Saccharomyces cerevisiae S288C: one gene and its partners. Changing the gene in region 2 together with the main gene of any one other region gives a genetic interaction. Each region holds a gene or a part of one and is shown on either strand. Other genes may lie near its edges.

Region 1 (4,273 bases), on a different chromosome or scaffold from region 2:
GGACGTTATTGGAGATGCTGTGGTACTGGTGTAAGTAACCGTAGTGCTTGAAGGGGCTGTACTGGGTGATGTCGTAGTGAACGTTGTGCTCGTTGGTGTTGTATTAGACGAGCTTGTAGGTGCTGAAGAAGAAGTTGGCGATGTTGTACTTGTTGAAGTGGAAGTTGACGACGTCGTGCTTGTAGAAATGGGGGCTGACGATGTTGTGGTTGGAGTTGATGATGATGATGATGATGTGCTCGTGGAAATGAGGGTTGACGACGTAGTACTTGTGGTGGTAGATGTTGATGATGTGACACTTACGGTCGTAGAAGTCGACGATGAGGTACTTGTGGTGGTAGAGGTTGACGATGTCGTGCTTGTGGGAATGGATGTTGACAACTTTGTGCTTGTAGTCGTGGGCAGTGCCGATGTTATATCAGTTGATGGTGTTGTACTGGTTGAGGCGGTTGTCAATGGGGTCGTACTCGTTGACGTCAGAGTCGGCGAGATTGTGGTTGTGTCCACAATACTCGTACTACTACTACTCGTGATAGAGCTACTTGAAACGTACACACTGGACTCTGTTGACGTTTCCACACTCTGTACAGAACTTAGCGGGGTTTGCCCCAGATATATATAACCAAAAAGATCCTTATCCGCATTACCACAATCTTCGTAGCCATAACCGGGACAAGTGCCACTGCAGTCTCCCACCGATGTCTGAGTGCTCGGTTCCGAATCACTGCACCAGCACATGAACCCCTGTACGATGGCAAACTGATGACCAGCACAGTTATTTGAACACCAACCATTACTCTGAAATTGATTTCGTACACCGTCAGTGGTCGCTGTGTTTTGCGACGAACACACAGATTGCGTAGCCCGTACCAGGCTACTGCATATAACGCTACATACTAGCCATATACTAACTTTTGCGCTCACCATTGACGTCTGCATGCGTTTTTGGTTTTGTAATTCGAGGTATCTAGCCTTTCTTTCCTTTTAAAAAATAAACAAAATGTACTTGCTGTCATGAGCTCCCTACTGCACCCGCCCCTGAAGCAGGGCAAATCACACTAGCACAGAACGCATATATATATATATTTACACATAACGACCTTGCTGTTTGCAACAAAAGGATTTGCTTACCTTAATTCATGCCCGTATCTTAACGTCGCCCAAAGTGGAAATACCGTAATAGTACCATTATCCTACAGTAAACACTTGCTGCCCGAAGGGGAAACCAAAAAAGGCGCAATATGCAGGTACCGTGCCTCCTGATTCCCTTTTTCACCGTACTCATTCCGTTCCGGGAACCACATTAAGGGTTCCCGCGGCCCCGTCTGTGTCTCACAGTCAACGTCAGGTCCGTACAGAACGGTGTCTCGAGCCTTATCGCTGCACGCCATATACTGTGGATATAATCCGTAACGTCGCAGTAGCAACCGTTCGATGTTGTTGTGCTGTTGTTGTGCTGTTGTTGTTGTTGTTGTTGTTGTTGTTGCCGTTGATACTGAATACTCTTACGTTATCATACGATATATTCTCAATCATTTGAGACGGGAAAGCAATGGACTCATTCGTGAGGAATGATACATATTTTTCATTTTTTTTTTTTTTCAGGTTTCTTGGAAGCTATTCTGTGGGAGCTTCAAATTCCTGGTAGAAATTGATAATAGCTCAGACGTACCTGTAGATCACTATTCGAAATTTCTTAGAGACGTTACAGGGTAAAGGGCTCGCTAGCAAATATGCACGACAAGAAGTCGCCCATGGCGAATTCCCACTACTTGAAAAATCTAAAACAGCAGTTTCGCAACAAGAACCTTATCGAAACGACTATCCATCTAGTAAAGTGCAATGACCATGACTCATTGGCCTTTTTAGCAAGAACATACGGGGTTCCACCACAGTTGCGACACGTCGTGTGGCCGATCCTGCTGAAGTACCACCCAATGTGCATTTCACCAAACATTACCTCCAATACCATTTCTTGGGACCCAATAACCAATGATTTCATACTTAATGACCCTTTTCTGAAAAGTAAGGCTCCAACCGATAAGCAAGACAAGAGCGACGATGAAAATATTCTCCCGTACGATATCGAATCCATTATCCTGCATGATTTGAAAAAATACTTCCACTCCAGGTCTAATCCTGCTGGCTCATCGAGTAATGCTAACACCACCAATATCGCCACCCCGACACCTGTTTCGTCGTCCGACGCTTCCACTATTTCTTCTATGGAGGTACTGTCTCCCTCATTAGACTATGAGTTCCAGATCATCGAGACTTTGAAAAATGCCATCGTGAAATTTCTGCTGAAGTGGTCAAAAATCTTCAAGTACGAAAGCGGTCTTGCCTGGATTGCTCTGGGATTGGCTGAATGGTATCCCATCTATCCCTACGAAACCATGTCTCCTTTCAACGAGACTCATTCATTTTACGAAGTGGAGGATTATGTAGTTCTGAGCGGAAGAAAGCACGCTCTTCTAAGCACTAACAACGGCAATAACGGAAATAGCAACTCCTCTAGCAACAACACCAACAACAATAACACGAATATAACATCGGGCATGCACAACTTGAGCATCAACACAAATACCAGCTTGCACAATTCTCCGTACATTTCTCACACGTTATCATATCTTTATAAGGAATATCCGTTACCCTTTGAGCTGCGATCAAAATTGCCTACAAAACCAATTTTCTCATTTAGTGCCCTTTTCGAAAGACTAGCTCTTGTCATTCTACATTGCCCTGATACCATACTGGCACACAAACAATTGAAAAATGACTCGAACGCATCTTCCAGCTCAAAGGCAAACTCAAACTTCAACACAAATTATTTCCCTATTATATCTGGTGGCGATCTTTCATTTCAGACCCAAGTTTTTTTCAAGGTATTCTCTTCAATTTTGCCAGAGCTGTACCAACCTTTGACAGAGGAATCTTCCTTACAACCTTCGTCGTCAAGAAACTCCTGGATATATTGGTGGTTGAAATGCTCTGGAGCTAAAGCTTTACAAAGACAAGATAGAGGGCGTGTATGGGATTTGCTGCTCGGTTGGAGGCCCAAACCAAACATGGACACGATAAATTTCTTTTTGAACTATAACGATAAGAAAATGGATCACCTCTATCACGATACACCACAATGTGACAACGAGCAGTACTGGATGAAAGATTGGATCGCTTTGTACAATAATGATCCGTTTTGGTTCCCCGATCTGGATAGCATGGCACTAGGTTCGAAAAAATTTCCCTATGATTATAGTGTCTTCAAAGAATTAATTTTAAGGAATAGATACGGAGGTACTCAAAGCAAAGCTCAAAAGGACAACACAGTACCATCTCCTGGTAGTGATTCAAATGATAAGTCAGAATTGAAACTACCGTTTTCTTCCATTGATCCTCATATGCAATTGATTTTCATTTTCATCGCGATTTTGCAGTTTAACGAATTTAAGCTATTAGAATTTGAAGAAGCGGAAATTTCTGAGTTTCTTAATAACGTTCCTCTGCTAACAAAATTTGATGACTCTTCCTATAGGAAGTTATACGAGAATACAGAATCTAGCATAACCAGTTTGCCTTCTTCACCGACTACTTCTACAATGGCGTCATTACAATCCAGTTCCAATTCGAGTGCCCATATCTCGAATTATCACATGTTAATCGAAGTCGGTAATGATGCTAAGGCTTCCCATTGTTTTGATGATCTTTTAAATATGGCTGGGGATATTTGGAGGAAATGGCTATGGAGAGAGTTAGAGGAAAGCTCTCTTTGAAAAGTTGAAATTATTTCCTTTAGAATTATATACTACTTCTACACAATTTTTAACACCTTGCATACGAATTTTTATCTCTAATCAATATTCTTCAAGCACTTTTTGAATACTTTGATGTTTTGATTTTTCGGAAAAGTTAATATTTAGTACCGATACTATACATTATTTTATAAACAAACGTCTTTCTAGATAAGTTTTATTAACTGTTCTATTTATCAATATGAAAAAGTTTCGGAGTTCATAGACCAATATTTTTCAATTCCAACTCAATTCTGCTCGTTGAATCAATACTGTTCAACAACCGTAAGTTTTCCTCGATATTGTTCTGCAAGCTTGGAATCTTCTGAATGATCAGGCCACCGAACTTTATCATCTGCAATTTCACATTCTCAATGGTTTCCTTGTTACAATTTATTGGAAAAGTTTGATCCCATAGTCTCCCCACATTTTGGATAAAGTCAGCGCTACTTATGGTACTAAATCTTCCAACTATCGAGATA
Region 2 (4,488 bases):
GAGACTTAAGCCACCTTGTAAAGAGATCATCATTTTCATTGGGAATCTGAGGGGGCATTATATTCAAAACCAAATTTTCAAGCCTAGAAGTACCAGTGCCTCTTGATTGCGCTGTTGATCTTCATTACTATGGTGTTTTTGGTGTCTTGTATGGTTTTTCCATGTTTTTTCCCTGTTTTCTTTTCAATGAAAAACTAAATTGCATGTCTCTCATAATAGAAAATATTCAATATTAACAAAATGTGCATTCTAAAGGAAATTACTATAAAAAATACAGGCATGATAAAAATATATGTACACAAAAATTACGGGCTAGTACCTCACCTCGTAAGAACCGGCTTTCGATATATATTTAATCCATTTTACAGCACGATGCTTACTGTCTTTTCCAGAAATGGTAAAGTATCGTACGACTAAGCCAGAATTACTGAACATCATGACCTCGAATTCCAGGGATATTGGAGGTCTTGTCCATTGTTGAAGATTCAATTGAGTAGTATCACTTGTGGACACAGTAACTGCACTTAAAGTGTTTTCCGTCAACCCATTGTACTTGTTGAACCTCCAAATCATTGCATTTTCTTCTGGCACAAACTTACAGTGGCCATTAGAGACACTTATCTTACAATCCACAGTGCTTGGTGGAACGGGTATATGTAGTACCACATCTTTGGCGGAAAGTTTTCCAGGAAATAAAGACTTCAATGTTATCCTGTAATCAATCTCGTTATCTCTTGTAGAATGTGTAACAATAGGTGTAACCTTGAACGGCAGGTTTATGTTATCTCGTACATGATATTTCATCAACTCCATCGAACCGTCTGGTGGGACGAATTCAATGATATGATTTCTGTTAAATTTGTCAAGTGAGACACATTCGTGAAACTTGCAATCTTCCAACAAAACACTACCGGCAGCAGCTTTGGGAATGAAGTTCTTGTTTCCAAAATCGCTGCCAGAGTGACGCTGCTGCTGTGCTAACCATTTCTTCTCGTCTTCGGACTGCATTCCCAAAGAATCATTCAATCCAAATCTACAAATAGGGGTCCCACTCAAGTGTGTGGTGATATCTATGGTGCCATCAACGTATGATTTCAAGATAGAACCATCCCTAGATACCAGAATGTTTATCCTCTCATTGACATACAAGAAAACTTCATCCTTCTTGTGTATTATCCCCTTGGGCCTCCAAGTGATCTTATTGTTATCATAGAAATCAGAAGTGGAGTCTCCTTGACCCAGGAAACTACTGCTTCTTTTTGTCAAAAATTTGGGAAAATGTAGTTCTCCTGCTGAAGAAGTAGGAGATGAAGAGGAAGATAATACATCATTTCCATCGGGACTATCTAACAATCCGCCCATATTTCTAACGGGTTTCACAGACATCTGCGCTATAACAGAGTTCAATTCAGTGTCAATTGGTATCCCATTTCCACCCAACATTATATCCAGCATCTCATGCACAATCATGAATTCCTCTTTCAAGGCCTCCTCTCTATCCAATCGATAAGCATTCATCACTGCATCAAGCTTATATAAGAACTCCCAGATCGCCGCACTATTAGCGTTGCTTCTCGTAATGGTTACCAACCACAAATTGTCACCATGCCTCGACCTGATGTGATGGAAAGTAGTTGAGCCCAGTGTCAAAACAGGCGATCTAACATCTAGATTATTGATCACTTGTACTCGGAAGATATCGGATATGGACCGCTTCAACGAGTTCTTGAAGAACTTGTTCAAGACAAGTTCACCTCTCGATGAGTATACCAGCACACCACTAATCATTGCTCACCATAACTCTATGTGATTCTTTTCTCCAACCGTTTATGAAAGGTTTCCACACTTTATCATCAAGTTCTCCTATACTAATCAATTAAGGAAAATATGGCTGTTACCCTTCGACCGCAGTTGAAAAAAATTTTCTATCAAATAATAAATGGCTACGATTAGCGAGAAGGGCTGGATGAGATGAGAGTAAGTTGGTCGAAAGTGACTTTGTTGGAGGTTGCTACGAGGCTAGGAACGCAGTCTGGATGTCAATGAGTAATATTGTTGTTTTTGGAGGGGACTCGCACCCCGAGTTAGTTACTAAGATCTGTGAAAATTTGGACATTCACCCATCGAAAGTAGAATTAGGGAAGTTTTCTAATGGGGAAACGAACATTGCTCTTCGCGAATCTGTTCGTGAAAAGGATGTATATATCATCCAGAGTGGTTGTGGCCAGGTGAACGACACGTTCATGCAGTTGCTGATTTTAATCAGTGCCTGCAAGTCCGCTTCTGCCTCGAGGGTTACAGCCGTAATGCCATATCTCTGCTACTCGAGACAGCCAGATATTCCATATACTGCCAAGGGTGCTCCCATAATTTCCAAGCCTAAAGAAAACTATACTTTTGAATCGCATCCAGGCACACCCGTGTCATCTTCTTTAATGACGCAAAGACCAGGTGCTGAGAGCTCGTTGAAGAGTTTGGATAGTGCAATACGATCAACTATCAACTTAGAAAATCCTCAACCTATCAGAACACCAAACAGCAGTGCTACGGCGAATAACAATTTCGACATCAAGAAGACGCTTTCTTTTTCAAGAATTCCTATGATTCCCGGTGGTAAGTTACAAAATACAAGCAATAGCACGGACGCTGGTGAATTGTTCAACGCTCAAAATGCAGGCTATAAGCTATGGGTAGTACAAGCCGGTACTTTGATTGCTCATTTGTTGAGTGCTGCAGGTGCTGACCATGTGATCACAATGGATTTGCACGATCCACAGTTCCCTGGGTTTTTTGACATTCCAGTGGATAATCTCTACTGTAAACCCATTGCACAAAACTACATCCAGCATCGCATTCCAGATTATCAGGATGCTGTGATCGTTTCTCCAGATGCTGGTGGTGCAAAGAGAGCTACGGCTATTGCAGACGCCTTGGAATTGTCCTTCGCCCTAATTCATAAAGAAAGAAGATCTCAGTTATTGAAGGGCCCTCCAGATGCGACGTTAACCTCTGGTGGTTCGTTACCAGTATCTCCAAGGCCATTAGTTACTACTTTGGTTTCCTCCCAAAATACTACTTCTTCAGGTGCCACTGGGGTTGCGGCCCTTGAAATGAAGAAAACAACTTCAACATCTTCCACCTCGTCGCAATCTTCTAATTCGTCCAAGTTCGTTCAAACTACCATGCTTGTTGGCGATGTTAGAAACAAGGTGTGTATTATAGTCGACGACTTGGTGGATACTTCATACACTATTACAAGAGCTGCGAAATTGTTGAAGGATCAAGGATCTACCAAAGTTTATGCCTTAATAACGCACGGTGTTTTTTCCGGTGATGCGCTAGAAAGAATCGGCCAAAGTAGTATAGATAAGTTGATCATTTCTAACACGGTTCCTCAAGATAGAACACTACAGTACCTAGGTAAGGACAGAGTGGATGTTATTGATGTCTCCTGCATAATCGGTGAAGCAATTAGAAGAATCCATAACGGTGAATCCATTTCTATGTTGTTCGAGCATGGATGGTAGTGGCATTGATGTGTTCATTTTTTTATTGATAAAAATAGGGGAAAGTGTCTATATATTTTGCGTATAAAATTCTCTACATTTTTTTTTCTTTGTTTAGTATGTGTATTGAAACATTTTATTTATAGGTTAGAGAAACAAAAAAAAAAAAACTGCAATTTCTTCTTGTATGTCTGTAGAAAAAATTTTAAGCTGCTCTCCCCTGTGATTTCATGCGTCTGGGACTAATAAGAACGGTGATGATGGTTATTATGATGCATGGGCAATTCTTTTGGCATAATCTCTTCATCTTTTTATGGTCGACGAGGAGCCGTTGGCATCATAATTGGAAGTTCTTGACAAAGAGTCGGTGAAATTAGAACGATCATTGTTGTTAGCGTTTTCGTTCTTAAATTTATTCTTAATACTGGAAAATAAACTTGCATTTGAACTTGAACTTTCTCTATCGTCACTTCGATTAGAATTCTCTTGATTGATATTCTCGTTTCCATATTCACTTTTGGATTCGTCCCAATCTTTTGCGGGGCCAATGATGGTTTTTGGAACACCTTTGACTGTGATGACAGATTCCACAATACCATTCTTCGTATTTTGGTAAGAGGTTGAGATTGTAACGTTTTGATTTTCGTTGCCGTGATTCGCGCCAGAATTTGGAATTGATATACTATCAGGGCTATTTCTCGTGGTTTTAGTCGAGGTAGTAACTTGAGTTGGTTGACCCGACCGTTGAGTATGGAGAACAGCTTGGCGAGATAGCTCTGCATGATCACTTAATAGTTGTTGTTCTTCGGCGGAGAGTGATTTATCATTTGAGTGTGGTGCTGGAGAAGGCTCTTTGCTAGAATGAGGAGTGTGTGTAGTAATGATTTTCGGAACATTGGCAGGCTTTTTAATGGTAACAAAAGATTTATTTACGTTCAACGGGTTGGACGCTAGATTTGAAGGTATGATGGTGCCATGTTCC
Region 3 (3,242 bases), on a different chromosome or scaffold from region 2:
GTTGAATTATCCGATTTCACTCTTTGGTGGCACAAAATCATTTGTACTGACTACAAATGGAGCTATTGGTGGTAGAAATATGTCACTAGGCGTACTGTACCTCATCGTTGCAGGGCTTTGCGCCTTATTTGGCATCATTTTTTTGGTTAAATTAATCTTCCAACCAAGAGCGATGGGTGATCACACTTATTTGAATTTTGATGATGAAGAAAACGAGGATTATGAGGATGTACACGCAGAGAATACAACATTGAGGGAAATTTTATAGAGGCCAAAAAACAAACTTTAGTGCCTGTAGGTATTTGTGTTTATAAGTAAACAAGTTTTGTTGACTTCCTGAAACGTAAACAAAAGAAAAATTGAAGTATGCCTTTTTACGCTTGGAAAATAGTGCGACAAAGAACTCCCAGGGTTTGCTATTCCCATTTAGATGATGAAATGATAGAAAAGTGGAAAACGTTTATCATGAAATCATCTATACATATACGTAAAAATGTAAACTATGTAAAAATATGTTCCCTATAAAAGTGATGCTCTTCCGGAACGTTTTCTTTTTCCCACAAATCTCGTTGAAACCTGAACCAATCTGGTAATTCAGAATCACAGGGTATCCTTATTTTGACGTTATCTTTTCCCCTTGCTTTATAATAGCCATAATCTCCATTTTCTTTTTTATTAAATGCTAATCTATACCTATGGCCAAAAATTCCTAGGTCAGAAGAGGTTTTCTTCAAATCGTCTCCTAGAACTCCACTTACTTGTAATACTTTATTATTTTTCACTTTGGTTTCGATTTGATTTATTAATGTCAAAAGCCGCTGAGGCACTTCTGGCTCTCTGCAAAGGTCATCTTCATTTACTCTAATAAGTTTGCCAGAATTGGCCTTATACTCTATCGAATGCGTCCTATTATTCTCAAGGGGCAATTTTTTTGCTTTGTTGTCCACAATTGTCTTATTATCCTTCTCCTGTTCTATCTCAATGTTAATTATTTCTAGAAATGTTTCCGCAAAATAATTTCTATTCTTACCAGAAAATAATCTGTACTCATTTATGATTGATGCAATATTCCATTTCTGAATTTTTCGAAGTATACCAATGACCAACGCGGTCTTATCTACCAATAAAACATTATAATTATCCACATTCAATAATGTTTTGAAAGTTCTTTTTAAACACGTGCTCTTAATCAGCATTAAGTCATCATTGTCAGTCAAGTGGTAAGCCAATTCCTCCTGAATTACAGGATCCCCTGTAGTAGAATTTTGTGACCCATTTGCAGTGGATTTTTTCTTTTCTTCCTGTAATGATAGAGTACTGTTATTATTCGAATATAAATTTGCGTTAGATACAGAAGAGCTTTTTACCGGAACTGCCGCAGCCGAGAAATCAGACATCCTTAAAACAATCCATTTTATGGATGATCTTGTGAAAAAATCTTTGAAAAACTTGGATGGTTCTTGACCTCCAATAAATATAGCTGTCTTTAAATTGAGAGTTTCCAGAAAGGATAAATTTAATGTCTCCACTTTAGAACATCTATATATTCCTTCTTCAGCAATCCCAAAGTTAGCAGGTGGAACCAGCATTATGAATTCAGGTTATGGATCGCACCAGTGCTGTAAGTGTCTCTCTTTTTATTCTACGATCTCCATATAACAACCACATCTCATTTCTTTACCTTACTGTCCATTTAATGCTAGAAAACTTCCGAATATTGTATTATTATTACCCGGATATGTCAAGGCGGTATATTAAGATGTTCCTTTCAAAAGTTTCATTATACCGCATACGGTAAGGACAGCCATAAGTAGTTTTACTGATAAAATATGGGGCTAAAGAACTGTATATTTATGGATAGCACTAAAAGTAAAGATTTTCCCCGTGTCCTGACTTGGAGAAACAAAATTTCATTGTCATAAAAAACTTTTAAAATATGATATTCAAAGCTTGAGCATTGGGCTTCTGGATGACAGTTCTAATCAAGTTGGGTCTAAGGATATTGCATGTATACAAAGGATTCTTTCGGAAAGTAATCCTGAAATATTTTTTTTTTTCGTCTGAACATACGAAAGTAAATAAAAAAAGTTCAATGCATGCCTTCCTATGCAAGATTTATAAAAGGTGAACAGGTCAGGAGCAGCCACATCTCAATAAAGGCAGTTAAAGACGGTGATGTAGGTGCAGAAAGAGAAAGTGAACAAAGGATGATTTGAGATGTGTAATGATTCGTTTGAGCAGCAACAACTGCTAAGATATTCATACTAATAGGCCACTTCACACATTATGCCTTGGAGAATATCCTGCATTGCTCCTTTTATAGTATAGTCTATTCAGCACTAACAAGCAAAGCGAACATAATGGTAAAACTAACTTCAACTGTTGCTGGTGTCGCCTGCATCGCTGGCCCTCCCCTCCACTACGGCCATTTTAGCACAACTTGAATGAGTCAACTTGGTTGAGTTGCATGTTAACGTCTCTGATATCAGAGCTCACTTGCTCAATAATACATGTTACAAACTGCCCACTAAATTGAACACTCTAACATTATATTGACCTGAATTATTTGAAACGAAGTCAACAGAATGATCACTGATTTTCCAATGTACTCCGCTATGTTGAAGCTAGCCATCTTAAGCGATCAATGACGGTGCTCAATCATTCTTCGAAATGGGCTAAAAATGACAGTTGAAATATATTCTTTACGTTCATTTTTTTTCATACTGCAAACCCATTCTAGAACCAATGGTAAAAGTGACGGGAGTTGCTTTCTTTTACTATTTCAATGATAGCTATAGCCTGCATACACACAAAAGAATGTAAGTGATTGCGTGAAAGCTTAAAGTCTTAAAACTGTATTTTTTTCAACTCCTCCCATATATTAAACTGGTCCTCACAGTTCGCAGGATAACTAACAATTAAAAAAATTGTTCATATGGTTGTATTTCTTTCCGTCTCACATTATTAAAATTCAACGAAGAAGTTTCTACAATAACAGACAAGGGCCTACGATTACTATGTACTGGAAGGTGAGTCTTGAATTCATCCTCAGAGATTGTTCTAAAGACCAACAGAAATCCATATAGATTACCGTAGTTACTCTGATGGAATTTCAGAGTAAGACCCTTGTCAACTTCATCACTTTAAGTTGAGATGTAGAAAGACACTTTTGTAAGGTCTCCAACAAGTATATTTGATAAATAGACTGTTGAGCTACAAAAACTCAATGTGAAGTAAAAGAC

Evidence for each region. Genes that interact genetically often act in the same process or in processes that back each other up.
Region 1: mutations in PRS5 (region 2) and OCA5 together harm fitness more than expected from each alone (negative genetic interaction), as found in Saccharomyces cerevisiae (2 studies listed by BioGRID).
Region 3: mutations in PRS5 (region 2) and OCA4 together harm fitness more than expected from each alone (negative genetic interaction), as found in Saccharomyces cerevisiae (2 studies listed by BioGRID).

The regions. Positions count from the first base shown.
Region 1 is NC_001140.6:45,429-49,701, reverse strand, and holds OCA5 (Oca5p), read left to right. Parts: upstream 1-1,733; coding exon 1,734-3,773; downstream 3,774-4,273. Other genes in the region: WSC4 (Wsc4p), read right to left, coding at 1-939; ECM29 (Ecm29p), read right to left, coding at 4,012-4,273.
Region 2 is NC_001147.6:210,208-214,695, forward strand, and holds PRS5 (ribose phosphate diphosphokinase subunit PRS5), read left to right. Parts: upstream 1-2,036; coding exon 2,037-3,527; downstream 3,528-4,488. Other genes in the region: CRT10 (Crt10p), read right to left, coding at 1-58; APM4 (Apm4p), read right to left, coding at 313-1,788; MAM3 (Mam3p), read right to left, coding at 3,810-4,488.
Region 3 is NC_001135.5:287,670-290,911, forward strand, and holds OCA4 (Oca4p), read right to left. Parts: upstream 1,590-3,242; coding exon 501-1,589; downstream 1-500. Other genes in the region: aminophospholipid translocase regulatory protein CDC50, read left to right, coding at 1-268; YCR095W-A (uncharacterized protein), read left to right, coding at 1,970-2,128.